3 linked regions of the Oryctolagus cuniculus genome follow. The main gene of each other region encodes a partner of the protein of the gene in region 3 in a complex. Links are inferred from orthologs where the notes say so. Each region holds a gene or a part of one and is shown on either strand. Other genes may lie near its edges. The genes, in order: ARVCF, PA2G4 and DDX5.

Evidence for each region.
Region 1: DDX5 (region 3) and ARVCF share a complex: the UniProt entries of both Homo sapiens proteins name them as parts of the ribonucleoprotein complex. The link is inferred for Oryctolagus cuniculus from reciprocal best matches to the Homo sapiens genes DDX5 and ARVCF.
Region 2: DDX5 (region 3) and PA2G4 share a complex: the UniProt entries of both Homo sapiens proteins name them as parts of the ribonucleoprotein complex. The link is inferred for Oryctolagus cuniculus from reciprocal best matches to the Homo sapiens genes DDX5 and PA2G4.

What each region holds. Positions count from the first base shown.
Region 1 is NC_091452.1:27,663,482-27,672,732, reverse strand, and holds part of ARVCF (splicing regulator ARVCF), read left to right. Parts: coding exon 1-448; intron 449-1,507; coding exon 1,508-2,004; intron 2,005-2,561; coding exon 2,562-2,745; intron 2,746-3,058; coding exon 3,059-3,176; intron 3,177-3,443; coding exon 3,444-3,615; intron 3,616-3,943; coding exon 3,944-3,961; intron 3,962-4,794; coding exon 4,795-4,866; intron 4,867-6,045; coding exon 6,046-6,173; intron 6,174-6,270; coding exon 6,271-6,421; intron 6,422-6,589; coding exon 6,590-6,788; intron 6,789-6,882; coding exon 6,883-6,994; intron 6,995-7,103; coding exon 7,104-7,194; intron 7,195-7,521; coding exon 7,522-7,575; intron 7,576-7,889; coding exon 7,890-7,975; intron 7,976-8,407; coding exon 8,408-8,515; 3' UTR 8,516-8,527; intron 8,528-8,886; coding exon of another isoform or gene 8,887-8,913; 3' UTR 8,914-9,251. UniProt on the Homo sapiens protein: Contributes to the regulation of alternative splicing of pre-mRNAs.
Region 2 is NC_091442.1:58,900,206-58,910,191, forward strand, and holds the start of PA2G4 (proliferation-associated protein 2G4), read left to right. Parts: upstream 1-4,367; 5' UTR 4,368-4,798; coding exon 4,799-4,886; intron 4,887-6,735; coding exon 6,736-6,864; intron 6,865-7,147; coding exon 7,148-7,253; intron 7,254-7,341; coding exon 7,342-7,411; intron 7,412-7,645; coding exon 7,646-7,738; intron 7,739-9,534; exon of another isoform or gene 9,535-9,986. Other genes in the region: ERBB3 (receptor tyrosine-protein kinase erbB-3), read left to right, coding at 3-100, 185-373, 506-577, 1,081-1,381, 1,536-2,062. UniProt on the Homo sapiens protein: May play a role in a ERBB3-regulated signal transduction pathway. Seems be involved in growth regulation. Acts a corepressor of the androgen receptor (AR) and is regulated by the ERBB3 ligand neuregulin-1/heregulin (HRG).
Region 3 is NC_091448.1:14,222,870-14,232,776, reverse strand, and holds the start of DDX5 (probable ATP-dependent RNA helicase DDX5), read right to left. Parts: upstream 5,597-9,907; 5' UTR 5,195-5,596; intron 4,904-5,194; 5' UTR 4,769-4,903; coding exon 4,725-4,768; intron 3,613-4,724; coding exon 3,447-3,612; intron 3,217-3,446; coding exon 3,120-3,216; intron 3,024-3,119; coding exon 2,890-3,023; intron 2,779-2,889; coding exon 2,713-2,778; intron 2,514-2,712; coding exon 2,372-2,513; intron 2,295-2,371; coding exon 2,134-2,294; intron 2,058-2,133; coding exon 1,885-2,057; intron 1,525-1,884; coding exon 1,414-1,524; intron 1,215-1,413; coding exon 1,153-1,214; intron 1,073-1,152; coding exon 1,013-1,072; intron 1-1,012. Other genes in the region: CEP95 (centrosomal protein of 95 kDa), read left to right, coding at 5,666-5,837, 7,090-7,218, 8,377-8,484. UniProt on the Homo sapiens protein: Involved in the alternative regulation of pre-mRNA splicing; its RNA helicase activity is necessary for increasing tau exon 10 inclusion and occurs in a RBM4-dependent manner. Binds to the tau pre-mRNA in the stem-loop region downstream of exon 10.

The sequences.
Region 1 (9,251 bases), on a different chromosome or scaffold from region 3:
ATGGCGGCCCCCCGCTTGGCCCTTTTGCCGACAGCCCCCTGGACCGGCACTTCCTTCTGCGGGGCGGTGGCCCGGCGGCCACGCTGTCCCGGGCCTACCTCAGCAGCGGGGGCGGCTTCCCTGATGGTCCCGAGCCCCGGGATGGCCCCAACTACGGCAGCCTGTCGCGAGGGCTGGGGGTGCGGCCCCCACGTGCCGGCCCCCTCGGTCCCGGCCCTGGCGATGGCTGCTTTACCCTGCCTGGCCGCCGCGAGGCATTCCCATCCGGCCCCGAGCCCGGGCCCCACGGGGGCCGCTCCCTGCCCGAGCGCTTCCAGGCAGAGCCCTACGGCTTAGAGGATGACACCCGCAGCCTGGCCAACGATGACGAGGGCGGCCCCGAGCTGGAGCCCGACTACGGCACAGCCACACGGAGGAGGCCCGAGTGTGGGCGGGGCCTGCGTACCAGGTGAGCACCCTGTCCCCCCATGGCCACTGCCTCCAGGAAGTCACCCATCCATGCTCCCTGCACGGGCAGCCAAGCCGCTAGGGCTGAGTCCATCGTGCACACTTGGATGTGGGCTGAAGGGGACAGTGGCAGTTAGGCTGCCCAGCACCTGCTGGCTCCTCTCCAGGCAGATGGCGGCAAGGACCCGAGCACTGGAGGCCCAGCCAGCTCCTCTCCCTGGGCCTGTTTCCTTCCCCCATGCACAGCACTAACTGGAACCCAGAGCCCACCCCAGGCTTTCTTGCCCTATCTGGTCTCAGTGTGTGCACCTGCAGAATGGGAACACCACAGCCTAGGGGCAGGTGCTGCTGTGTGACCCGGAGCGAGTCGCCTGACCCCTCCCAGCCTCAGGCCACAACCCACCCTGCCACTGAGAGCCAGGGACAGTTCCCTCCCCAAGGGGCCAGCCGGTGGCCTCAGTGCCCCCCACAGATGATCCTACTGAGATGGCCTCGTATGGGGAGGGTCACTCACTCCCCCCACACCCTGACACCAGCCAGAGGTGGGCCTCCTGCAGAGCTGGGGGAATGTGACAGAGAGAAGGGGTCGGGAGACGCTGTGGGAGTGCATGAGTGTCCTGTTCTGGGATTGATTGATTTCTTTGAAAGGCAGAATTACATAGAGAGGAGGGCAGAGAGGGAGAGAGATTGGTCTTCCATCTGCTGGCCTACCCCCGAAGTGGCCACAATGGCTGGAGCTGGGCCCACAGGAAGCCAGGGGCCAGGAGCTTCCCCCAGGTCTCCCACTGGGCCATTCTCTGCTGCCTTCCCAGGCCATAGCAGAGAGCTGGATCCGAAGTAGAGCAGCCGGGCCTGGAACTGGCACCCATGTGGGATGCCGGCACTGCAGGCAGCTTTACCTGCTAGGCCACAGCGCTGACTCCCCTCTGGATGGGTTTTTGCTGGGCTGCGGGCGTGTTTCTCAGCACCAACTCCCTACTACTGGGAGCTGGGGTGTGGGGGAGGGGTTTTGCCGAGGCCCCGCCCCTCACGATGCTCACACGCCCCCTCGCCGGCGCAGGGCCTGCGAGGACCTGGCCGATGACGGAGGTGAGCTGCTGGAGGAGCGGCCCCCATTCCCGGCGACGGCGCCCCTGGCCCAGCCTGAGCGGGGCAGCCTGGGCAGCCTGGACCGGGCGGTGCGGCGCTCGCCCTCGGTGGACAGCGCCCGCAAGGAGCCGCGCTGGCGGGACCCAGAGCTGCCCGAGGTGCTGGCCATGCTGCGGCACCCCGTGGACCCCGTGAAAGCCAACGCGGCCGCCTACCTGCAGCACCTGTGCTTCGAGAACGAGGGCGTCAAGCGGCGCGTGCGGCAGCTGCGGGGGCTGCCGCTGCTCGTGGCGCTGCTGGACCACCCCCGCGCCGAGGTGCGGCGCCGGGCCTGCGGGGCCCTGCGCAACCTCTCCTATGGCCGCGACACGGACAACAAGGCCGCCATCCGGGACTGCGGCGGGGTGCCTGCCCTGGTGCGGCTGCTGCGGGCCGCCCGGGACAGCGAGGTCCGGGAGCTTGTCACCGGTGAGTGGCGCCCGGCTGCACCTGCGGGAGAGAGGAGAGCCAGAGGCTCGGGCTGGGGAGGCGTGGGGCTGCTTGGGGTCTGCGGCTGGGGAGAGCTGCCCAGTGGCCAGAGCCCCGGCTGCTGGGACAGCTTTGTGCTGGAGCAGGCATCAGGTGTAGATGCGAGGACAGATCCCCAGTCTCCCTACCCACAGTCGGGCTAGCGCTGGGCCCCTCAGGCAGGGGCTGGGGACAGCTGGGGGGTCATGTGACCACCTCTGTGTGGCTCCAGGGTCTCAAGACCCTTAGTTCCCCTGCCCAGGGGGCAGGGAAGGGATGGGAGGAGTCACCTGCTGGCCCCTCGGCTGCACTGGAAGTCCCTCACCCCCACTGGAAGCCCCTGCTGGGGACAGCCCTCCCTGCCTCGCCCCCGCCCAACCTCTCACGGTTCTTGTCACTCCTTGCCTTCCCATGCATGGACATGAGGAGGGCAGGCAGGTCCTGAGCGGGGGTCCCAGGAAAGGCAGCGGGTGGGCAGGGCCTGCGGTCAACACGGTGGGTGTCGGTGGCACCCACAGGCACCCTCTGGAACCTGTCGTCCTACGAGCCCCTGAAAATGGTCATCATTGACCACGGCCTGCAGACACTCACACACGAGGTCATCGTGCCCCACTCGGGCTGGGAGCGGGAGCCCAACGAGGACTCCAAACCCCGGGACGCCGAGTGGACGACCGTCTTCAAGAATACCTCGGGCTGCTTGAGGTGGGGGCAGGGCCGGCTGGGGCTGCCCCTCTCCCTCACCTCCCCCTGCAGCACAGCTGGGCTCCCGGTCAGGGAGGTGGGATCTAGGCACCAGAGCCTGCACCCCCGCAGCCTGCAGGCAGCCACATCCTGGTGGTCCCCAGAGCGTGGATGACAGTCAGCCACCCAGTAGCCAGGGGCTGCAGAGTCACACCACGAAGTCCAACCTGCAGAGGAAGATGGATGAGCCCCCCGGCCTGAGTCCAGGGCTGGGGCTGGCAGGGTTCTCCCTGGAGGAGGCCGGGGCTCACCGGGCCTGTTCTCGGCCCTCCAGGAATGTGAGCTCGGACGGCGCCGAGGCCCGGCGGAGGCTCCGGGAGTGTGAAGGGCTGGTGGACGCACTCCTGCACGCTCTGCAGTCGGCAGTGGGCAGGAAGGACACAGACAACAAGGTGGGTAGGGCAGGACGGGCACAGGCCGATAGCCTCCCGCCCCCAATCGTCAGAGAACCAGACCGTTCAGGAGCTGGGAGGCCCGGCGTCCTGGGGCTGTCCAGGGCGTGCCTGACTGGGGCACCCCAAACACGGCCCCACGGAAGTGGTCATGGGCCCCCCCCCCCCGTGCTTTCTCGCCCAGCTGACTCTGTGCGCAGGTGCCCAGGACCCTGAACAGCCCCGAGGCCCCGCCCTCCCACTCACCTCTGCCCCCCCCCCCCACAGTCGGTGGAGAACTGTGTGTGCATCATGCGGAATCTGTCATACCACGTGCACAAGGAGGTGCCTGGGGCCGACAGATACCAGGAGGCCGAGCCTGGGCCCCCGGGCGGTGCTGCCGGCTTCCAGCGGCGGAGGCGGGACGATGCCAGCTGCTTCGGCGGCAAGAAGGCCAAAGGTGGGTGGGCAAGTCGGGGGTCCTGCTCTTGGCACCGGCGCTCCCGGCTGAAGGCCCTCCGTGCCCAGGGCAGGCAGCTAGGAGGCTGGAGGACGGCGGGATAGATGGGCGGGAGCCCGGAGGGTCCCGCTCTGCCCGGGCTCCACCCCCGGAGGAGACTGACCCCAGGCTTGCCCCTGCCAGTCCCTGGGGGCACTCAGCCCTCCCTCCTCCCCCACGCCCAGCCATCCATTAGGGTGAGGTTCTGCAGTGGGAACACAGGGGGCCGCTGGGAGGGTGCCCCGCTCAGGCTCGTCTCCTCTTTCCTGTGCTTCCTGCCGGCGCCCAGAGGACTGGTTCCATCAAGGTGAGTGAACGCCTGTTTGTCCGGCAGTCCCGCCGTGGGCAAGACGCCCCGTGGCGCCCACTGTCGTTTCCTTGACAACCGCAGGGCAGCGGGTGCAGTGGGCTCCCGGGAAGCCGCGCCAATCCCCAGGGCCCTGCCCCGCCCCTCCCGCTCCAGGCCCATCACCCTGGCAGCCATCTCCATGACAACTGCCCAGGACACACAAAGGCAGGAATGCGGACCCCCTCCACCCAGGGGGCTGGGAGGCCGAGGGGGCCGCTCCGGCAACCTCAGACTCAGCTCCCTTAGGCAGGGCTGGGGCAGAGCCGGGTGGGGCAGGCAGGGCCCCTGGTCCTTGTCATGGATCGGGCTGTGTGTGTGTGTGTGTGTGTGTGTGTGTGTCCAGCTCCCACAAGCTGAGGCGGCTTACCTAAGCTCACTGCCTTGAGAGGCGGAAGCTCCCCCTTCGGAGATGGGGAGGGTGGCTGGAGGCAGAGAGGTGTGCACGCGGCTGCTGCTGTGAGGGGTTCCGCCCCCAAGCTGGGGTGGTTTTCCTGGGACAGGACCCTCGGCCCACCAAGTCCTGAGCCTGGCAAGCTTCCGTTTCTCTGTCTGTACCTACGGCCATCCAGCCTGGGCTGCTGGTTCCTTCACACACCCAGCAGCTCCCAGCCCTTGATGCTGGGGTGGGGCCGGGGTGTCCCCAGACCACCTGCCTGTGGGCCTCAGAACGACTTCAAGTGGTGCCAGGGCCTGGGTGTGGGGTGCTCTTTGGGCTCTGGGCAGGGGGCCCTCGTGGCATGTTTCTGTTCCCCCATGGGGGGTCCACCTCACCTCCCACCCTTGTGTTCTAGGGAAGAAGGATGGTGAGATGGACCAGAACTTCGACACGCTGGACCTGCCCAAGAGAACCGAGGCCGCCAAAGGTGAGCTGGCCAGTGTCGCTGGAGGGGTCCCAGCTCAGGGGGCCTGGGGGGCCTGGGGGGCCTTGGGAATCAGGTGGGAAATGGGGACTGCAAGTGTATGGTTCCCTGGGGGGTGATCTGGTCCCTGGGCTGCTGTTCGGAGTCAGGGTCAATGCCGTAGGTCACTGGATTCAGGATGCGTGGGGGAGATAAGACAAAGAGGCCATGAGAGGCGGGGCTGGAGGGGGTGTTTCCTGGGCACTGGGAGCCAGGAGGGCGTGGTCAGATCAGGTACAGAGACCGACCAGGGGCGGGGCGGTGCATCCCTGCGTCCCCCGTATCCGTTGGGTTCCTCCTGCTCTGTGCAGTCCAATGGGAACCCATCTGCCTGAACGAGTGGACCCAGGCCACCTTGTGAAGTGGAAGAGCCCAGAGGCCACCCCCCCAGTGGGTGGAAGTGGCCAAGCCTTCCAGCCGTGGGGGGGCGGGGAGGGGGGTGGTCTGTGGGGATGCATTACAGTCAGAGGGAGGAGGTTGCTTTCCGAGCCAGGCAAATATCCATGTGTGGACAGGAAGGCTTGGAAGGCCGCCCTGGCCCCTCAGCTCTGGAGCACTGTGTGGGGCACCACCTTGGTGCCAGCCTGGGGCCTCACTTGTGGGGGAACCTGGGGCAGCCCTGGTTGCACCGCAACATTGCCACGGGGAATGGGTGGGCCCTGTTGCTGGGAGCGTGACCCTGTGCTCAGCTTCAATTACATACCGGCGGAGGTGGGGCTCGGTTGCTCCGCGCCAATTACACACTGGCAGAGGCGGGCCCTGTTGCTAGGGGCGTGGCCGGACTGCTCAGCTTCAGTCACATTCCCGGCAGAGGCGGGCCCTGTTGCTAGGGCTGAGTCCCTGGTTGCAGTTTTCAGTTCCACAGGAAGGAAAGCCTTCCTTCTGTTGTCAGGGAAGGCGGGTCCTGTTGCTAGGGGCGCGGCCATAGTTACCGAGCCCTGCCTCCTGGGTTGAGGAAGACATGACCTCACCAGAACCCATTGTCCCCTGAGCCTCAGTTTGCCCCTCTGTGCAGTGGGAGCGCTTCCTCCTTGGGGATGATTCCCCTGATAATAAACATTCTCGGTTCCACGCCCCTCCGCGGCCCTGGTGAGGGAGGAGACTGGGTGACAGTGGGCGGTGGGTGCCCCGTGCTGTGCCCAGGCTTTGAGCTGCTGTACCAGCCGGAGGTGGTGCGTCTCTACCTCTCCCTGCTCACGGAGAGCCGGAACTTCAACACCCTGGAGGCTGCCGCCGGGGCCCTGCAGAACCTCAGCGCTGGCAACTGGATGGTGAGAGGGCAGGCGGGACTCGGGGGCCCTGGGCCGTGGGGAGGCGGGGAGAGCGCACCAGCGCACTAATCGGCCCCCCACCCCCGGACCGCCGCAGTGGGCCACGTACATCCGCGCCACGGTGCGCAAGGAGCGTGGGCTGCCGGTGCTGGTAGAGCTGCTGCAGTCTGAGACCGACAAGGTGGTGCGCGCTGTGGCCATCGCGCTGCGCAACCTCTCGCTGGACCGGCGCAACAAGGACCTCATAGGTGAGGAACCCGCAGGCCTCCTCGGGGTCGGACTCGGAGCCCTGGTCCCGGTCCTGTCGCCTGGGGGTCCCACAGCGGTGCGGCTGTGGTGTCCTGGGGCTCCGTGCCCCTCATGTGCAGGGGCGGGGGGCAGAGGAGCGGCCTAACACCTGTCCCTGCCCCTCTCAGGGAGCTACGCCATGGTGGAGCTGGTGCGGAACGTGCGCAACGCGCAGGCACCCACGCGCCCGGGGGCCCGGCTGGAGGAGGACACGGTGGTGGCCGTGCTCAACACCATCCACGAGATCGTGTCGGACAGCCTGGACAACGCGCGCTCGCTCCTGCAGGCCCGCGGCGTGCCCGCGCTCGTGGCCCTCTGCGCCTCCAGGTGGGTGGGGCGGGGCCGCGGGGCGGGGCCCGAGCGCGCGGGGGGTGTGGCCACTGACCCCGCCCCTCCCCCCCCCCCCGCCCGCGCGCCACAGCCAGTCCGTGCGCGAAGCGAAGGCGGCGTCACACGTGCTGCAGACCGTGTGGAGCTACAAGGAGCTGCGCGGCGCCCTGCAGAGGGACGGCTGGACCAAGGCGCGCTTCCAGGTGGGGAGTGCCCTGGCCAGCCCCTCTCTTGACTCTGCCGGTTCGGCCCCCCACCCAAAGCGGGCAGTGCGGCCAGCTCACCCCATGCCTGTGCCCCGTGCCTCTGCAGTCGGCGGCCACGGCCAGCAAGGTGCCTAAGGGATCCCAGAGCCCCGGTGGCTTCGATGACAGCACGCTGCCGCTGGTGGACAAGAGCCTGGGTGCGTGTGGGAGCCCGTCCCTGACCTGCACTGACACTGACAAGGTGGCGAGGGGCTGGAGGAGAGACCCGGGCTTCCTCCGGACAGGATGGGGGATGGCGGACCCTTTGCCGGCTCTCTGCTTCCTGGGTGCTTCTTGTCACGTGGTGCCTGCACAGGTGCCAGTGGCCGCGGGTTGGGGTGGGGGTGGGTGCTGGTGGCCAGAGGCCAGGCTGGGGCGCAGAGATGGTTGGTAGCAGAGGGTGCCCAGGCTGTCCAGGCCAGCCCTGCCGCGGGCTAGGCTGCCCCGGCCCCACCTGCAGCCAGCTGCCTGCTTATGCCTTGCAGACAGCGAGAAGCAGGGCAGCCGGGACGTGATCCCCATGGACACTCTCGGCCCAGGTGAGTGCAGGTGCAGTGTGGCTGGGGGGGGGGGGGTGCTGGAAGGCCTCCCAGGAGGTGCTGGCTGGATGAGAGAGCTTTGGGACAGAGGGCCAGGGAAGGCTCAGTTCCCAGCCAGGGCCCAGACCTGTAGCCAAGGGGCTGCACCTGCTGGGTTTAGGGGCTGCACCTGCTGGGTTTAGGGGCTGCTGGGAGCGCAGACACCAGCACAGGGTGACCCCCCCTTCAGGGTGGGCAGATGCCGGCCTTCTGAGCTGAGAGGGAGCTGTGCTAGAGTGTCCCTCCTGAAGCTGCTCCTCCTGTCCCCACCCCAGACGGCTACTCCACTGTGGACCGCCGGGAGCGCAGGGCGCGGGGCAGTGACTCCGCAGGGGAGGCCTCTGAGAAGGAACCGTTGAAAGTGAGTGGCTGTGGGCCGCCCCGTCCCGTAGGGGTTGCCCACAGAGCACCTGGGCAGCACTAAGTCTGGGCCCCGCCCCCTCCCCACCCCCACCCCGGGCCACAGCTTGGGCGGGCAGGCAGCCCCCTCAGGTCGGAATCAGCGTGCAGACACCATTGGGAGCCCATCGCTGCTGGGAGTGGGGGGCGGCAGGGCCAGAGGCCGCCTGCCCGTCTGTACCCTTGCCTGCATGTGCACAAGTGCGGGGCGAGGGCCCACCACCCGCCCCCTGCCAGTTCCCGCAGGCCCGCCAGCCAGCTCATCTCCTGCCCTTGGCATCACTCCCTCCCCCGCCCCGTGCTGCCTTGGCCAGCCCACCCCGCAGCCCCCACTAACCGGCTCTGTTCTGCTTCTGCCGCCCACCTGCCCCCTTACCCACCGTGCGCTGCGCAGCCCGACCCCGGCAGGAAGGCCCCGCCCCCCGGGCCCCCCAGGCCCGCGGTCAGGCTGGTGGACGCCGTGGGGGACGCTAAGCCTCAGCCAGTTGATTCCTGGGTCTAGCTTGCATGCCTGGTACGTCTCTCCACATTCCCGGCTGTGCCCTCCCCTCCGGGCCGGGCTTCTGGTAACCTCTGCTGGCTGCATGCTCTGCTCTCCCTGTGTGCCCACGGCAGGTGTGCAGCGGCCCTGATACCTGTGGGGGAGTGGGGAGGCCAAGCCCAGGGCCCGGAGGGAGAGTCCTTGGGGGATGGGACGGAGCAGGGAGGGAGGGTCCCCCCAAACCTGCCAGCACCATCTGCTGGCTGTGATCGACCCTGACACAGGACCCCTGGGGCCAGCCCACACTACCCATGACTGGGGCGTGGGCCCCCTTGTGCGCTCGCCGCCTGTGCGCAGGGCTGCAGCGCCCGCTTCCCACTCTCGCTCCGCAGGGCCCGGGTCCGGCCGTGGGTTCCTAGCCACCGGATCACCGCAGCAGGGCCGTCCACAGCAGACCCCTGCCGTGGAGCTCGGAGCCCCCTGGCGGCCGGGGTTGGCAGCGACACCCCCCACCCTCAACTCCCGCAGCACCGGGTCCCTGCCACCCTACGCGCTCTTCTCGGACCTGATTGCTTTAGGCCGACCTGGTGCTGTGTCCCAGCGAGCCGAGAGAGGGCGCCAGGGAGAAGGCTGGACGCGGCTGCGCGCCGGGGAGGGCCCGGGGCCAGCAGAGCTGCCCGCGTGTGCGCGCGCGTGTGTGTGCGTGTGTGTGCGTGTGCGCAGGGCGGGCAGGTAGCCAGGCAAGGAGGGGGCTCAG
Region 2 (9,986 bases), on a different chromosome or scaffold from region 3:
AGGTTGGATGATTGATGAGAACATTCGCCCAACCTTTAAAGAACTAGCCAATGAGTTCACCAGGATGGCCCGAGATCCACCACGGTATCTAGTCATAAAGGTGAGTAGGGACTAGATTGCAAGGATGTGGAGAAAAGAATTGGCTGGAACCCGGATCCACCTTAACAGTTACCTGCTCCTACAGAGGGAGAGTGGGCCTGGAGTACCTCCTGGGGCAGAGCCCTCTGCTCTGACAAACAAGGAACTGGAGGAAGTAGAGCTGGAGCCAGAACTTGACCTAGACCTAGACTTGGAGGCAGAAGAGGACACCCTGGCAACCACACTGGGCTCTGCTCTCAGCCTACCAGTTGGAACTCTTACTCGACCACGGGGGGTAAGACACTGTAACTACCCAAGACTCCACACCAGGCCCGCACAAACCCCCAGACCAACTACTCACGGCCCCCATGGTAAGAGTAGGATTTCTTCCTTCATCTGAACCTTTTTCTTACTTCTTTCCTCCCAGAGCCAGAGCCTGTTAAGTCCATCATCTGGATACATGCCCATGAACCAGAGTGTTCTTGGAGAGGCCTGCCAGGTGAGCTCTGCTGCTGACACGAGGTGGCTGAGGGGTAGTGCAGGAAGCATGAGAAACTGAAAAGGCAGGCAACAAACAACCCAATCTTCTTCTTTTTTTAAGCCTTATTTTTATTTGAAAGAGTTACAGAGAAAGGTAGAGTGAGAGAGCAATAGAGAGAGGGGTCTTCCATACACTGACTGGTTCACTCCCCAAATGGCTGCAATGGCTGGAGCTGAGCTGAGCTGATGCAAAGCCAGGAGCCAGGAGCTTCATCCGGGTCTCCCATGTGGGTGCAGGGGTCCAAGCATTTGGGCCATCTTGCACTGCTTTCCCAGGTTCATCAGTAGGGAGCTGGATCGGAAGTGGAGCAGCCAGGACTTGAACTGGCACCATAAGGGATGCTGGCACTGCAGGCCAGGGCTTTAACCTGCTGTGTCACAGCACCGGCCCCCAACCCAATCTTCTAAATAAAGCCTTTCCTGTCTCTAAATCTGTTATCCTCTCTTTACCTTCCTTCGTAGGAGTCTGCAGTTTGTGGGGGCAGTGAACGATGCCCTCGTCCGGTCTCTCTGCACCCAGTGCCACGGGGCCGCCTGACCTCCGAATCGTCAGAAGGTCACGTGACAGGCTCTGAGGCTGAGCTCCCGGAGAAGGTGTCGGTGTGCAGGAGCCGCAGCCGCAGCCGCAGCCCACGGCCAAGGGGAGATAGTGCCTACCATTCCCAGCGCCATAGCCTGCTTACGCCCGTCACCCCTCTTGCCCCGCCAGGATTGGAAGAAGAGGATGTCAACGGTTATGTCATGCCAGATACACACCTCAAAGGTGCCTGACTCCTCCTGCAGCTTTCTCTGAATTCTCGTCTTCTCTGATCCTATCCCTTCCTATTAATTTTTTCTAACTTTCCCTTCCCTTCCCCTACCTACTGCCCATTACCATGAAGTTCTCCACCTACTTATCCTCTCTGCTCTTCTCCTAGGTACTCCTTCTTCCCGAGAAGGTACTCTTTCCTCAGTGGGTCTCAGCTCTGTCCTGGGTACTGAAGAGGAAGATGAAGATGAGGAGTATGAATACATGAACCGTCGGAGAAGGCCCAGCCCATCTCATCCCCCTCGGCCCGGCTCCCTTGAGGAGCTGGGCTATGAGTACATGGACGTGGGGTCAGACCTCAGTGCCTCCCTGGGCAGCACGCAGAGTTGTCCTCTCAACCCTGTGCCCGTCATATCCACTGCTGGCACGACACCAGATGAGGACTATGAGTATATGAATCGGCGACGCGGTGCAGGTGGCCCGGGAGGGGATTACACAGCCATGGGGGCCTGCCCAGCAGCTGAGCAAGGGTATGAAGAGATGCGAGCTTTCCAGGGGCCTGGTCCGCATGCCCCTAGTGTCCGCTACGCCCGCCTCAAAACCCTCCGCAGTTTAGAAGCCACCGACTCCGCCTTTGACAACCCTGATTACTGGCATAGCAGGCTTTTCCCCAAGGCTAACGCCCAGAGAACATAGCCTCGACTCCTTGAGACACTCGGGGAGCGTCTGATGGCAGCTAGTGCCTCTAGAGGGTACCCCTCATCTCCCTACTCCCCCCTCCACAGGTGTCAGCCCCATTTCTCTAGTCCTAGACAATTCCATTCAACCTTTGGAGGCTTTGAATCCCTTTGACACAAACTTCTTATGGTTTGTAGCCAACTGTGCACTTTGTTCTCCTTCCCAGCCCCAGGAAGGAGAAGGTTTTCCTACTTTGTGTGCTTTCCCAGGACTCCCTGGAGACATGAAGGATTACTCCCCACATCCCTGTAGCTCAGGCCCCACCTGTTAGTATGAGGCCCGGATATGTGCCTGTTTCAGAGTGTCCTAAGAACACAGGGGCAGATCTGGCAGAAGAAAGCAAAAACTGGGTACTTTTAACCCCCTGCAAAGGTTGCAGAGCTTAAAGTTCTGTAAAGAGCAGTTAGGAACAGACTATTACTCTCGGCTCTTCACTGCGGGCCAGGCAGCAAGCGAAACTTTACCTACATTATCTCCCTTAATCCTTTATACTCCTTACAATTGTGTGACAGAGAGATGACCCTGTTTTACACCTAAGTAGTCCCCCCTCCCCCATCCTCAGGGGATAATGTTCCAAGACACCCAGTGAAACCACAGATAGCACCAAATGCTGTACTTAATGCCCTTCCTCCTGAACTCCATGCACTACGGCCATAACTTGTGCATTCCGTGGTGCAACAAGAAAAGTAGCACAGAATTCCATGGATAAAGGAATCGTCTGCACTGGAGATCCGGCGACTTCTGCGTACACTTTTGGCTCCTTTACTTACGAAGACGTTCACCTTTTCACTTAACGGAAGCACTTCTCTTTGGTCGATGTGAATTGCCTGCATCACCATTAAACAAGTAAGGGTTCCTAGAACACAGCCACTTTTGGATACCACAACAGGAGATCTGATAAGCGAGAGTGCTACCGAGGGACTAAGGGCAGTGAGGGACGACTACACTGGACAGAGGAAGAGCAGGATGGTGCTAAGATTTCATCATGCTACTCAGACTTATCAATTGTTGATTTTCCATGTAATTGTTTTGGACTGCAGTTAACCACAGGTAACAAGCTGTGGAAAGACAGCAGATCAGGGGGACTGAGCCTTAAAGACTGGGTAAATTAAGCAACAGGTCCAGGTTTCAAAATCTTCCCAACAGAATGCACGTGTTCTTACTGTAAGCTGTCATGGAAAACAGATAAGTCAGAGAGCCCTTGTAAGGTGCATTTTACTTGTGTGTGTGTGTGTTTTTTTTTTCTTTGCACTGAATCAAGTTTAACCCTCCTCTACACCCAGACTTCTCATCTCAGGAAGTGGTGGGGGTGAGGGGGTAGGAAGGAAAAATAACTGGATGTTTTTGCATAAACCGTAACTCTCGTGATCACTCCTAAGGGCAGACTCACAAAGGTCCCCAGGCCCACCTGTAGGAGCTGTTCTCCTCCAGTGGTGAGACGCTTCCAGGTGGGAGAGACAGGACCCTGCTTTAGACCTCCATCCCCTTGGGAGGGGAACTGGGGCAAATGTCTGTTATATCATTGAAGTGTTTTGTTGTTTTTATACATGTCTGAATAAAAATGCCAAAGTTTTTTTCAGCTTTCTGTTTGTCAAATGAAGGAAACTGATTAAGAGGCCACCTCTTTGAGTGCAACAGTGGACAGCCACCTTTCTGTCTCCCGACAGCCCTGTTCGTCCCATTCAGCTTTCTCCAGGCATAGGGCAGAGTCCTTTTCATTCAGGGGTTGTACTAGAAATTACAGGGCAAGTAGGATTAAAAAAAAAAAAAATCCCACAAATGCTTGGAGAAGTTAGAAAATGCCCTATGGATGCGAAAATTGAAAGCTTTAAATTGCTTCAAAACTCATTCTCTTAAGAGAGCCACCAACTCTCTGCGAGCACTTCCTTAGGTGGGGGCCCCATTCAAGGCCACGGCTGGAAGAACAGTGCCTCTAGGTCGGGAGGGCGTGAGTGGATGATCTCCCGCTGCCTAGTTAGACCCAGTTCCCAACACGCTTCCTCGGTCTTCCACGTCCGCTCTGCTCCTTCCCTCAGCACTGGGAGCCGATTGGACCGGCCGGGCCGGTCCCGCCAGCCGACCCAGGGATCCCCAGCCGGCGTACCCAGCACCCCCGCCCTAGGTGCACACACAGCACACCGACCTCGGCTCCACCCTGCTCCACGCCGCCCCGCCGCAGCCAAACCCTTTTCCCCTTCGAAGCCCCGCCCCTAATCCCTCAGCCCGCCCCCCTTCTCTATTACGAGCTCGGGCTCAGCACTCCTGGTGGATGGACTTTTTCCCGGAGAGACCACGCTTCCCCTCCAGCTAGCCAACAGCTCCGCCTTCCCGCCGGAGCCTGACCCTTCCCAGCGTGCCCGGCGATTCCGGCGTGCGAGGCCCTTGGAGGGCAAGGCTCCAGGGCCTGGCTTAGGGGCGCGAGAGGCAGGCTGGGAATTGTAGTTCAAGCGACCACGAGGACGGCTAGAGGGTGGCGGCGGAAAGGACTCGTCGTCCCGGCGTACCCTGCGCCTCAGCCCGCGCGCTCGCAGCTTCTCGCTCTCGCTCGCCCGCCCGCCCGCTGCCTTGCTTGCTCGCGCTTTCGCTCGCGCTCTCCTCGCGGATCGTGGGGGCTCTGACCACAGCCTGCGGCTGGGGAGGGCGACAGAGGCGGCGGCTCAGGGGAAACGAGGCTGCAGTGGTGGTGGTGGGAAGATGTCGGGCGAGGACGAGCAGCAGGAGCAAACTATCGCCGAGGACCTGGTCGTGACCAAGTATAAGATGGGGGGCGACATCGCCAACCGTGAGTGCGGCCTCGGGGGGTCCGGAATCGAGTCTGGGAGGGAGAGGTGCTGGGCAGACCGCTGAGGGGCTGGCGCGGTAGGGTGCTGCGGAGTGAGCTCCGGTGGGGTCCGTATCGGTCCGCTGGAGTCGGCGTGGTGGGAAGACCCAGTGTCGCGCCCGGGACCGGAGTGGCCAGGCCTGGACTGGAGTCTGTGGGTGCGGGCCGGCGACCGGGGAGAGGGCAGAGAGAGGGACCCGGGCAGACTTCGAGCCTAGGCCGTTGGTAAAGGAGGCAAGGCGCGTTTTCTTCGGTGCCCGCACTCCTCCGTCCGGGTCTCGGCGGTCGCCTCGAAGAGGAAGCGCCCAGCTGTTGGCGACAGAGGCGCCCTTCTGTTTTGTTGCGGCTCCTGAGCGTCAGGAGCAGGGCTGGCACGTGTTGCCGGGTCCCTCCTGCCGCCGCCGCGGTCCCTGACACCAGCCTCCCCACCACGTGCTTTGCTGGAGTCTTCCTCCTTTACTTCGTCGCTCGCCCTGGCGAGGGCCCCCTTTCACCCTGGGCCGGCTCAGGGGGCCGTTGGAGGGCACCCCTGGACCTTCTAACGCAACTCTTGGGGACTTCGTCTGTGTGTTCTCGAAGTTGTTGGTTACTACCACCTTTCCAATCTGTGCAGAAAGCCTCAGCCCTCGGATTGGTTTCCGGGGACTTGCTGGAGTTCGGAGGAGGGTTTTGAGGTTGCCCTTGGCCCCAGCTAGGCGGGCTGGTGAGCGGTGTGGCCGCGGGACCGGCTTCAGGATTGTCACCGGTCATCATTCGAGCCCTGCTCCGACTTCTCAGCAGTTGTTTGCCACTCTAGGCAGATGTCTCACTTTCTATTTTCTCTCTTTCCAGTTCACCTTTCCATTTTAAAACCCACTGAGAGAGTTGGAAGCTACTCGTCTGAGCTTCTATATGGTCTTAATAGTAAAGATAGGAAGAGGTTTTTAGGGTGCCTTTGGCTCTGAAGCCGAAGACCTGGGTTGTTCTAACTTCCAGTTAATCCAAAACTGAGACCTCAAAAATCAAACCTGAAATTCTGGATGGATCACGGAGAGGGTGTGAACAGAACAATGCTTTCTCAAAAGTGGCTCAGTGGACGTGTAGTGTAGTGCCTTGACCTGGGTGTACTTTAGTTTTCGATACTAGTGATTTGAACTAAAAGAAATGTTTCTTCTTCTTTCTTGCAGTTTATAATTTGAGTCATTTGTGATCTCAGATATCAGTTTTGAAATCTCAGGGTCACTAATCCCTTTAGATCTACGGCAGGCTGAAAGCCACGAGCCCCCTGAAGCCCAGAGACTTCTGAATAGCCCCCTTAGTTCCTACATATGTTTATGAGGGAATAAATTTAAATAAATTGCGATTACCAACACCTAATTAGTGATGTGTGAGAAGACAGGAAGGTAACAATTTCCCAATGCATCAGCTTCGAGTCAGCAATTCTGTGTCCCTGACGCCCATAAATGTCTTGTAGTCTACTTTGCATGTATGTGGGGCACCTCGGCATGAACCCTCTGCAGCTCATAACTGTGTTCTGCCAGGCCCAAGGTGCCTTTGGACAGTCAAGTTTGTCTAAGAAGATGTTGTGTGTAGCCAGTTGTCACATAATGTAAGGGAGACAAGGAGGGGTTGGCCTTTTTTATTTTAGGAAAGGAGGGTAGAAATTAGAGGTTATAGGTAGATACATTCCAAGAAGCAAGACTCAGGTTTCCTCTCTCAGCCTCAGGGGGCTAGCGCTGGGAATTAGAAGTTCCGAGTCCAGCTTACATACCAGGGTGGTCAGCAGACAGTAAATACGTGCCAGGCTGATGTGGTGGGATTCTGTCCCCAGGGGTACTTCGGTCTTTGGTGGAAGCATCCAGCTCAGGTGTGTCCGTGCTGAGCCTGTGTGAGAAGGGTGATGCCATGATCATGGAAGAGACAGGGAAGATCTTCAAAAAAGAAAAGGAGATGAAAAAAGGTAAAAAAAAAAAAAAAAAAAAAAACAACAACAACAACAAAACACCTCTCACTAGTTTTCCAAGCTTGGCCCTTATCTGGTTCTTTTTTTTTTTTCCCATTATAATGATGCAAACCCCACCCAGCCCTGGGTGGGATATTTGGAGATCTGAAATGGCAAGTGGGATACAAGCAGTGCCCTACCCAATCCAACGTGGTTAAAGTCCCTGAGAAAGTTTTTCCTTTTTCTGAAGGGCAGCAAGAGAGAGAGCAAGGCAGTAAGGCTAACGATTCTGTCTTTACAGGTATTGCCTTTCCTACCAGCATTTCAGTAAATAACTGTGTGTGTCACTTCTCGCCTTTGAAGAGTGACCAGGACTATATTCTCAAGGAAGGTGACTTGGTAAAAATGTAAGGCTAAGCCATTTTAGAGCGTTTCTCTTTCCCAAGTACTTGCACTATGCCATTCCTAATGTGGTACTCTGCCCTTGCCTTTCAGTGACCTTGGGGTCCATGTGGATGGCTTTATCGCGAATGTGGCTCACACTTTCGTGGTCGGTGTAGCTCAGGTAGGTGGCCTACTTTTGAACTCTGTTCCAGCTGGGGTTCGTTTGCAGGGGGCGAGAGTATGTGTGCACTGCAGTTGCCTCAGCCCTATCCCCTACCACCATGTTTGGGGAGAGTCTACAGAATTCTCTAGAGAAACACTTTTTCTTTAATGTTCATTGGCTTGGGTGCACAAATATTACCCACATGGTGGGCTGAGTTAGCCAGCTTCTCTGAATGGGTTTCCTTATCCACAGGGGACCCAAGTGACAGGGCGGAAAGCAGATGTCATTAAGGCAGCTCACCTTTGTGCTGAGGCTGCCCTGCGCCTGGTCAAACCTGGAAATCAGGTAAGCTGTTTTATCCAGCCCTAAAGAGAGAACCCGAGATGCGTTAGGTACCTGTAGCCACTCTGGACAGAACTGCCAACTTCCCCCACACCCCCTATTTAAAAACTAGCCTTTTAAAATAAGCTGTGTCTTAGGATGGGAATTCTTGTAGAGAAGAGGCAGGAACTAAGCGCTTGACACTCAACAGCAGACAGATCTGTGCTAGGTGCACAGAGTGATGGTTTCTTCCTTAACTGCACGTAGAGATCCTTCTTTTCTTTGTTCATGGTATTTACCTTATTCATTTGAAAGGCACACAAACACTGTTCACTGGTTACTCCCCACGTGCCTGCAATAGCTGGGGCTGGGCCAGGCCAAAATTGGAAGCTGGGAATTCAGTCTTGGGTGATAAGGACCCTGAGACCTGAGCCAGCACCTGCTGCCTTGCCTCCCAGGGTGCACATTAGTAGGAAGGGAGTCAGGACTTGAATCCAAGCTCTCTGAAATGAGATGCGGGTGTCTCATGCAGCATCTTAACTATTAAACCAAATGCTTGCCCCTCTTTTCATGTTTTGTATGTGCATCTGTCCCCAAAATAACTTGAGCTAAGTACCTTACAAACTCAGTTTTAAAGCCTTTATAAAACAAAAGTCAGAAAAAGGATAGGGTGCTGGTGCTGTGGTATAGTGGGTTAAGCCTCTGCCTACAGCACCAGCGTCCCATATCTGCTCCATTTGAGACCTGGCTGCTCCACTTCCAATCCAGCTCCCTGCTAATGTGCCTAGGAAAGCAGTGGAAGATGGCCCAAGTCCTGGGCCCCTGCACCCATGTGGGAGACCTGGAAGAAGCTCCTGGCTCCTGGCTTCAGATTGGCCTGGCTCTAGCCATCTCAGCCATTTGGGGAGTGAACCAGCAGATAGAAGCTTGCCGTCTCTGCCTCTTTCTCCCTGCTCTGTAACATTGCCTTTCAAGTAAAAAAAAAAAAAAAATGGGGCCGGTGTCGCGGCTCACTTGGCTAATCCTCCACCTTGTGGTGCCGGCACACTGGGTTCTAGTCCTGGTCGGGGCGCCGGATTCTGTCCCGGTTGCCCCTCTTCCAGGCCAGCTCTCTGCTGTGGCCAGGGAATGCAGTGGAGGATGTCCCAAGTGCTTGGGCCTTGCACCCCATGGGAGACCAGGATAAGTACCTGGCTCCTGCCTTTGGCTCAGCGCGGTGCGCCAGCCGCGGCGGCCATTGGAGGGTGAACCAACTGCAAAGGAAGACCTTTCTTTCTGTCTCTCTCTCTCACTGTCCACTCTGCCTGTCCAAAAAAAAAAAAAATCAAGTAAAAAAAAAGAATAAATCTTAAAAAAAAAAAAGATAGGAATGAGATGACGATACCAGTGGGCTGGTCCAGAGTTAGCGCTGACTCTGCATGACAATTAGGAAGCCCAGAAGTCCTAAGGTTCTCATAGACTAACAGAATTATACACTTTAGATCGTCAGTGGACACAATTCTCTAAATTTAAATTTCCAGAGGCCCATTCAGTATTTAAAGCATCTTTTTTCTCCTTTTCTGTGTTCTTCCATGCTTCACACTTTTAATTTAGACTTTATTCCTATTACCACTTTTTTAATGCAAAAATATCCATATACATTTATTCATAGGTCTTAATACCACAAAACATAAATGAAAACTGAGAACATTGCTTATTCAGCCAGGAGCTTTGAAATTATTTAATTTGAAATATAAATTGGAGTTTCTCCAGAAAATATATCTGCATGGAATTCACTTTATCATTGATGCTTTAGGAGTACATTTTACAGACAGCAGTAATCAGGCTTCTTGCGTGTTTAAATGGAAATGAACTTGATAAGCATAAAGAAATAACTTTTCTTTTATGTAGCAGCAAAAAGAGTCTCCAAGAAAGAGACTGTTTTCATTTCCTTCCAACTTGGATTCACCATAAACACAATCCACAAATGATAATGGAACTTCAGCAACAGTATAATTCAGCTGTCTTGCCCAAACAGTCATCTCCATCTGGAAGATATGGCCTTTAGAAACACATTTTTCTATTAATTTTTGTAGAACTTCTTTTCATTATAATCTGAAACTTCCTGTTAGATAAGACAGATGCTCCTGGTCTCAGTAAAATCTGAGTAATAAAGTTGCCCCCATGGCTGATCATTTTTCTTTTCAAATATACCTCTCTTTCCTTTGTAGTGAATTCCAGACACAATATCAGAATTTCCTTCCTTTCGCTTCCTGATGAATTCAGGAATAAA
Region 3 (9,907 bases):
CGAAAGGAACGTGTGTTCCCTAGCACATTCCCAATTCAGCACGTCCCCTTACAGATCATCAAGTGACATCTGAATGCTTCTGCGCAGTAGGGCCACTTTTAAGTTTCACAGCAACCTCTTCATGTGCTCATTTTGAGGACCTTTAAACAAAAATGTACAAGGTCCTTTGCATTACACACTCATCGGAAGTTCAAAATTCAGGCCACACTGCTTGTCTTGCCAAGACCTTACAACCGCAGCTGCAAGAAAAACATACCTGTCCCCCAAAAGTTGTTTTTATGCACTGTGTCTCGTCTAGGCAAGCGCTTCCAAGAAGCCAGGATTCACTTGAGAATGTGTCTCTCTCTGGCAGGTCTCGACATGACGACTACTGTGTCACAAGGTGAGGGAGGAACTTTCAAAGCACTGTTTTCTTTTCCCACTGATTCTAAGTGTGAGAAGTTGCTCCTGCTCTAGGTCTTATGTGCCAGTACTCACCAATTTGTAAAAGGCTTAGTACCTTTTAAAGCTGCTCTCTCCATTTCAAACTTGAACAAAAATTTCATTGAACATTGAAGTTTGGAACTATTTCTTCGACATTTCAGCAAACTCACTGAAACTCAAAGACCCACAGATCACAGTGAACAGTTTCAAACAATGCTGTACCATGGCAGTCATGCAAAGCATGGGACGGAAGAAACCACGGCAGTGAACTGTGAGGGTACTTCCATTGTTTTCCCCCGGAGAGAACAGTTTATGGGGCAGAGGTGATATGTTCTGCCCTTTGAAGATTACTGGCACACTTTCAGTTTTTCACCTCTCTAATCGACTGGAAGCAGCCAGCCGATCACTAGTCCTCCATCCCCCTCGAGTCCTCCGATTGTCATGCCTAGGCCTTGCCACAAAGACTGCACCTTTATGTGAAAAAAACTTAGAAAAAATGCAGAGGTTAAAGAAAGCAATAAACTTTCTTTAGAAAAACTATATGGAGATCTTCTGGGAAACCAAGCCATGAATGCGAGTTTGTACTAACCTAGCCCTCTGGAGGCCACATCTGTAGCAATCAGAATAGGAGCTTTTCCATGTTTGAATTCTACAAAGGAAGGCAAATATACGATCATTACTCTGAAGCCTATCTTAAGAAAAAAAATTTTCTCCTTTTGAAATACTTACCATTTAGAACCCAGTCACGCTCCTGTTGACTCTTGTCACCATGGATACCCATGGCAGGCCACCTAAAATAGAAGATTTATCCTAGTAGGCTCATGCTTCAAATCAGATTCTCATGCTTAACCATTTTTGCCAAGCCTCAATTTCACTGACAGCTTTACCCAAACTATCAGATTAGCCTTATCTATGAAACCCACAACCATCCTCTTGGCTCAAGTTTGTTTGCCCTTTCCTAAAGGACTATACATGGAGAATCCCACATACCCATCTCTCCTCATTTTTCTGGTAAGCTCATCACATCTTCTTTTGGTTTCAACAAAAACAATGGTTTTATTTTCCTTCTCACTCATGATCTCTTCCATTAGACGAATAAGTCTAGACAAAACAAACGCCTGAGTCTTAAAACAAGTCCACAGTTGGGGCTGCACATTTACATTCAGTGAAACATTAAGTTCAATTTTGCATGGCTCCAAGTCAAAGAGGAAACACCTGTAGGACCATCTGACAATCCTACCCTGGGTCCTTAAGTAAACCACAAGACACATGACTTTCATCTTCCTGTAAGAATGCCATAAATGGAACAACCAATTACAGAAGGACATGAAATCTCAAGATGGATTGGCGGACTTAATTTTACATGAACCTATTCAGATTACATCAATTGAAAGTCAATTTTGACATAACCCATGAAAGCTACTCAACCACACAAAGCCATTAAATGTATATAATACTTACTTTTCATCCTTTTCTACATCATGACATACATCCACTATCTGAAGAATGTTGTGGTTTGCACTCAATTCCAGTGCTCCAATGTTTATATGAATGTAGTCTTTCAGAAAATCTTCAGCAAGCTGTCTTACTTCTTTTGGCCATGTAGCACTCCACATTAGGGTTTGCCTATCAGGCTAAGACAGAGAAAGGATTACACTGTACTCCAAAAGTAAATTTAGACTTGTGAAAAGTGACATTAAGGGTACTTACTCTTATCTGATCCACAATCTTCCTTATTTGGGGTTCAAAGCCCATATCAAGCATTCTATCTGCTTCATCAAGGACCAGGTAAGTTGTTCTTCTCAGATTGGTTTTTCCACACTCTAAAAAGTCAATCAGTCTTCCAGGTGTTGCAATACAGATTTCCACACCTTCAAATTAAATGCATAAACGTTAACACATAACATTTAGCACTGGTTAGTTGACAAACCACCTTTTCCTTTCCTACCTCTCTCCAAGTCGCGGATCTGTGGTCCCTTGGGAGCACCACCATAGATGCAAGTAGACTTCAAGCGACAAGCTCTACAGTATTCAGCAGCTACTTGCTGCACTTGCTGAGCCAGTTCCCGAGTTGGTGCCAGCACCAAGCACTAAAGCAAGAGGAACAGCTTTTAGCACAGACCCCAGATTGCTAAGTTAGCTGCACTGGCAGATCCTTTCTCCAACTGTGCCATCAGATACCCAGAGCAGCCCCAGCTACGTTCAGTGAGAATACTAATCTTTACATAAATCGTTACATCGTTTGCTATGTATTCTGTTATGTTTCTAGTTGAAAAAATATATACTTACAATAGGTCCATCACCTCTCTCTAAGAATGGCTGATGATTGATGTGGACGATGGCAGGCAGCAAATACTACAGGAGGACAAACAGCAGAGACACTATTAAGATACTCTGGCTTTTTTATTCCCATTCCATTTCCTCTAGCATGGATCACCCAGCAACTCAGAGTTCTCCCAAACTTACAGACAATGTTTTCCCAGATCCGGTCTGAGCTACTCCAACCATATCTAATCCACTTAGAGCAACTGGCCATCCCTGAGCTTGAATAGCAGTGGGTTCAGTAAAGTTCTGCCTTGCAATCACGTCCATGACGTTTGCTGTAATTACAGCATTTTAGTAAACACTTGTAATGCCAACAGAAAGGAGGCAACAGGGGGAGAAGGGTGGTAAGCTGACTGAAAACCAGCACTTACCAGGAAAGTTTGCTTCATAGAAATTCAGAACTGGCTTTGGGCAATTGTGACCTCTAACTGTAACTTCCTTGCTTCTTCTGTATGTCTCCACCTCTTGCTGCAAAACAAATCATAACCACTTTAGTAACTCTTGACAGAGTCCCCTAAGCAAACACAGCTAGCAAACTCTGAACCTACAGGTGAAAATTCAAAGCCACCTCCTCCCCAAGCCAAAAAGAACTCCCCAAATTGAAATGTCCGCCAAGACACTTGTTAGATTTTGATTTCCTAGCTTAGTATTACTCAGGTAATACTGAATGATGATCAAAGCCACATGAAATTACTCACGGCTGTGCGTCTAGCCAAATCAGGATGTTCTTGATAAAAATTCTTCTCAAATTTGGGCAGCTCATCAAGATTCCACTTCTTTTTAACTAGTTTCTCTCCAGGGTTTCCAAATTTCTTTCCAGATAGAGGCCCTGCCCTACTTCCTCCAAATCGAGGCGCACCAAACCTGAAATTAAGAATGTTACATTTCTTCACGTCTGTATTTGGCGTTGGACAGATTTTAGCACTCATCAGCTCCAGTAATTATCCCTGAGAGCAGTCAACAGCATCACTTCCCACAGCCGCAACTATCGAGGCCAAGTACACGGCCCGCGATCGATAAGCTCAGAAACGGGCTGACCAAACTGCAGGATTTCAAGCATACAAGGACAGACAAGTCTGCGGCTACTACAGTCTCCGAGCTAGGGAATGCAGCAGCCGGGAGCCGGCCTATACGAGAAGGGTGGTGCCTAAAACAGCGATGCTACTCTAACGACTGTGTTCGAGCAGAGGCGCTTCCGTGTTAAACACGAACGGTAACGAGGCAGCCACAGCAGGGAGAGCGGCACAGGGAAGGTGTTTCTCCAAGGCACGCCGGGAAACCAATCGAGGTGGGGGAACCCGGCGGAAGAGCTCCCGATCAAGGTAGCAAAATTATATAACGCGAGAAGGAGAAGGAGGAGCCGGTGACTACCGGGGGAGGAGTCCGGGCCCGGGCGGAGTCGCCGGGCGGCGTTCCCGCTGGGGCGGCGCTTCCCCCTTTGTCTCGCATTTCTCTCTGCGCCACATTTTCTCGACGCTGCCATTTTGAGCTCCTCCGCCGGGCGGGGTAACAAAGGCGCCGCCGCCATGTCCGAGGCCGGCATTTTGTGCTCGCGGCTCAGCCACATGGCCGATCCCGAGGGCGCCGGCCGGCCGGCCGCTGCCTCCGCACCGAACCCACGGCTTCGGAGCGGCCCCTCTCCCACAGAACTCCCGGCGCCCCGAAAACACCTCCCCGAAGGCCGTACCTAACGGCGGCTCCCCGCTCCGCCCCGAAGCGCCGCGCTCTCCTCACCCCGCAGGGCGTTCCGCCAAATCCCCCAACAGCCGCCAAATGGCCGCTCCCCACCCCCAGACAAAAAGCGGGCTTCGGAACAGCCAAAACGACAAGCCTCTTCGGGTCACTTCGAAGCGAACGCCAAAATGGCGCAAACCTCCGACCGAGGCCCGAGAGGAGCCCGCGAAGGCCGCGTCGCCGCCCGCCGCCGCCCTCCCATCCCCCCTCTCCGGGCCTGACGGGTCCGCTCCCCGACTCACCCTCGATCGCGACCGCGATCCCGGTCGCTCGAGTATCCCGACATGGCGTCAATGGTTGCGGTTGGCGGGGGACGAAGCTAAGAGAAACGGGTGCGACGAGTCGCTGCAAGAGGCTTCGACGGCGGCGAAGCCTCGCGGGGGCGGCAGCGGCGGAGGAACGGCGGTGACGAGAGCCGGAGCTGCACGACCAGAGGCCGGTGGAAATGAATGAGGTGCCGGCCGCGTCCCGGCAGCCGGTTTTATAGTGCGGACCGCCTCCTCCGCCGCGGAGGCTGCTGGGAGCCGATCTGTGACCTCATCGCCCCGCCCCCCGCGCAGGGGGCCGCAACGCCCACCGGCGTTCTGGAATCCGCCCTGGGGTCCCCGCCGCCCCCGCGGCCGCTCCCTCCCGGGGCGCCCGTTTTTCTCCCGAGTCGTGTCCGGGCCCGCCCACCACAGGGATGCTTCAGCATGCATTTCCTTGACTTCACCTTTTTCTCGTCCTTCTACACCTCCAGCAAGCCTCCCCGCCTTCTCCCTGGACCGACAGGCACATAAAATGGCCAGGACAGGCCAGCCCACTCTCTCCACTCAGAGATGTTTACGTCTCCACAGAGCCCTCACACCCATAACCAAATAAGACGGGAAGGCGGAACCTGGCCTCGTCACGTGACAAGCCCCGCCCCCGGTCTGGGGAGGGGTCGGCACTACTTTCCCCCGCGGGAGTCGGCGGAGGAATACCTAACAAAGTAGTTCCCCGGAAGTCCAGTTCTGCCCCCTCCAGGAGACCGGCCGGGACAGCCGGGTGACCTAAACTGCCCGAGAATCCACCGACCCGAGAATCCTTCAGCAGTCTCCTGCCCGTGGAGAACGGTAGCTGCTGTCCGCAAACCGCCGCCGAGGCGCGTGCTGCGACAGGAAGTGGTCCTCCGAGGGCCAATCAGCGGCGAGAAGCCGTTGTAATGTCCCTCCCTCTTCGACCTGAGCCTCCTGCCTGGCGCCTCGGTTCCTACCGGCCCCGCCCACCTCCGGGTCTCGCCGTGCGACCCTTCCCGGACACCGTCGCCCGCGCGTCGGAGGCGCCTCGGACTGCGGCGCCGCCCTTCCTCCGCGACATGGCCGACTCGGGGGCTGGTGAGTCTCGGCCTGGAGGTCCGGTGTGTGTGGACCGAAGCCCCCCAAGTGCCCGAAGGCGTCGGGCCGGTCTCACCGGGGTGTCGGGGGCCGGCGAGGCTTGTGACTGTCAAGACGCCCCGTCGCCGTTGGGGTTGTCCGGGGTAGGGTCTGTCAGCCCCGCCGCCGGCTCGCTCGCGGCCGCGGAGCCGCGCCGTCGGGGCGGGGAGAGACGGACTGTGGCAGCAGTCGTCTTGCCCTGGGCGCCGAGCCCGCAGGCCGTTTGTGTCGGCCTTTGGAGGAATAGCACTTTCAGCCGCTGTGCCCTTGCTAGCTAGGGTTGGACCAGGGCTGCTCTCTTCTCTTCGGTGCCCTCTGGCGTCGCCGGCTTTGTCGGCCACGGTTTTTTGAGACACGAAATGGATTTCGTGGTCTGGGACGCTACAACGTTTTCTCCAGCGTCTACACAAACAAGTTGCCATGGCTTGGACGGTTGTGAGAGAGGGGCGTGGCGGTACGCCGAGGGTACACACCCCAAGTGCCCCCCTCTGTTTCCAGAACTGAGCAAAATGCTCTCCCATTAACCGCCAGTCATTTCAGGGAACGAGTGATTCAGACTTGGTAAACGACTTTTGGTCGAGCAGCTTTCCTGATCGCAGCAGTATTTGGCGGAGGGGAGCGTGGTAGCGTGCTAGTTCGCAGTGTAGGGGTGTTTCCATGTCTGCCCCGTGCGTTCCTGCGGGTACATTAGATGGAATAAAGGAAAGCTGTTCTTAACAGGCTGAGTTAATCACCACCTGTTTGGGCGCCGGCGAAATCCCGACAGGCGCAAGGTGATTTGGTAAAAACATGATGATTACTACTGGGAATTAGAAGCGGCTCTCATTAGTTTCTAGTGACTTCAGATGCTCATTACCTAGCTGTCTTGTTTATGACAGATGCTCTCCTTAACTTTCAATTAAAAACACCTATAAAAGGCTTAGAAACAGGTAAATGGCTTAAGGTTTTAGATTGCAACAGTGAAAATTGCATGTGCTTCATACTTTTTGACTGTATTGAACTGATAGCATTCTGGAAGTCATCCCCAGAAATTTAATACATCGTTTAAAAATCCTGCCTGGAAGGATCTTTGAAATTCTTCAACAACCAAATTCCTTTTATTCTATTCTGCACAGTCAGGTATCTTGGCGGGAGGTTGTTGGTTTTTCAAGTGTGCGTATAGCCTTTTCTAGTGCTGTTGAAAACAGATCTTTCTCCCCTTCTTTCCCAACAGAGTGGATAACCATTGCCAATAACCTTCTTTTTAAATGTCACATACATCTAAGGATACATGAGCTTGAAGATTGTGATGCTAATGTTTTTATTGCTCTTTATCAATCTATTCTGGGAGAAAAGGTACCAGGTAAGGGTCCTAAAAAGCATGAGTACGTATATCAGGCCAGAAATTTCTAGTGCCTTTAGTTATATCCTTTGGTATTTAATATGTTTCCTTTTTTCTGTCCACATCATTTCTATCAAAAGATTACATTCATTACCTTAGTGAATAGCATATGGGCGCCCATAACAACAACCTTGACAATCAGTTCAGTGATTCTTGCTAATCATGGTTTACTCACATCTAATGTCTTGTGAAAGTTACACTAAGTGTGCCTTCAAAGGGTCTGCAGTTGAGTAAAAGGAAATTTGCTGGGTCTGGTCCCCTCACCTGTATTAAGGATAAGAGTTGGTGTTTATGAGTCTGATTTCCTGAGAAGACGGTTAATAACTGTGGATGTCTAACCGTCTGTGTGCTGTGACTCGCTTTTTTCTTTCAGAGGTGTCACACGTTTTGCTGTATCACTTGTTGGATATCTCAGAGTCCTCATGCATAGATTCCTTTGCTGCCTGTGTTTCCTTACATAGTTTATAACCATTAGCTCCTGTAGGAGTTGTGTAGCTTCTCTTCTTTTTCCTTTGTTAGCATGAGGCAGTGCCCTCATCACTTCCTAGAATAAAGGAGTGGCCTCTCACTGCTCTTTGAGCTAGCTTCCCCCTTTTAGGGTTCATGTTCCTCAATACCAGAGGAGAAACCAAAGACTTGACTTGATAGTAAATCTTGGCACACTGTATGCCAGTCATTTATGCCAGTAATTCCCACTAGACCGGTTTAACAGTACGTACACGAGCTCTCATTGAATACTGCTGTGGTCTCTTTCTAATGGGAAGCAGTCCACACTATTGGGCTAAGGTCTTGTCTCATGTCTTGCCTCCCTTAGTAGAATATTAGCATCTCTCTGAATTTAGGAACCAATTTATCTTCCTTTGTAGAGTATACTCATGTATATGTTTGATGTAATAAATATTGAACCATATTCTAGTTAACAATTATTCAATATTAGGATGTAAATCAGTAAATACTAACCAGTAAAGATTCAACTTTGTCATGTCTGGACTCTGTTAACTTTATCACACACTGTGTTTGGGCAGAACTTTTAACAGTTGAGCTAACTCAAAAGCCTAGTCAGAGATAAATGAAAACTTGAACCCTTACAAATGCAGAATTATGTGACTCCTCCCACAGACCTCATAGCTGTTCCCAGGAGTCCAGAGGATGATGCCCACAATGTACAGGCTGTGATTGATTCTCTGGCCTTGGATTACCTGCAGGTCAGCTTGTCTCACATAACAGGTTGGTATATACTTAAGCAGATAATTGTGCATTTTAGTAAATTGATTTGTTAGATAAAACCTTCAACATTGCTTAATTAATTAAATGAATGAGCTTATGGAATAGGCCAAACTTAAAACTGAGCCAAGAGAATCAAATGGTATAGTTAAGGCAAGCACACATGAGAACGTTTCCTGGAGGGGAAAACATTGAGTTTGTGATGGATCTGGGTATGAAATATAAGTACCCTAGATGCTAACTTAAGGTATGTGTTTTGTTATAGTTTTGATTTTAAAACATATCAGTGCTGCTTATTTGCAGTAGCTAGAAGTTAAAGCAGTTGATATCTGTTAATAAGGACTGATTAAATTATAATAGATCCACATAGTGGAGTACTCGGCAATTATAAAATGCTTTTTATGGACAACATTTCATTTTAGAGGAATGATCTCTGATGTAAATAGTATGAGAAAAATTTGGTGCGATTACAGTGATAATGTGCAGAATATGCTAATCTTTTAATACAAAGGAACTGATGGCTGTTGCAAAGACTATAGAATATACAAGAAATTGTAATACCCATCATCTCCAGCAGGAGAACTTCTGGGCTGTTAGACAAAAGGACAGGAATTTTCGCTGTATACCTTTTCTGCTTTTTGAATTTTGGACCACATTTATCCAAAAAAATTGTCTTGATGCAAACCATTTTTGAAAGTTTCCCCAAATAAAGTGTACCACGCTGTATTCTAAAACTAAGTATACCAGATTTATTTATAAATATTTGTATTTGCAGATAGTGAGATGAGAATTAGTCCAGTAAATTATTTCAAACCAATAAATAGAGGAAATCTGGTGAACTTGAAACTATACCACAGTCACAAAAATAAGGTTCATACTGTTGATTTACTCCTTGACAGTTGAAGAAAATAAATGTTCATCAGGACAGGTCATTTACATCTTATTTTGATATTCCAAAGAGAAAATAATTCTGTCTTAGGCTTTTGAGAGTATGTCTAGGGGAGTAAATGTAGTAAACCAGTTTGGAGAATTAAATTTGTGGCATAATCCTGTAGTCTTCGTGTTCTTTTGCAGTTTGAAATTGCGTCAGCACCCGAGTAGGGCATTTCTGGTATTTGTGTTTTGTAAACATGCTATAGCCAGGATAAACATCTGTGTGTGTAGAACTTTTTCATGCAGAGCTGCCCCTGACAAATCATACTCAGGCCCACAAAAAATTATAAACTGCTTACCTTCTCCAGCAGACTACAAAACAGCTTCTAGTCCTGTGTGCCTTTGAGGCAGCGTGTCCTGCTCCAAGAAGCGCTGTGTTCTGGCCGGGAGTCGTGGCTGCTGGGGTGGCAGAGTGTGCTCCCCATCCTGGAAACTGAGAAGTCTTGAGTATGCCCTTGGGATGTACTGATGTACCATAAGCCAGGAAAACAGG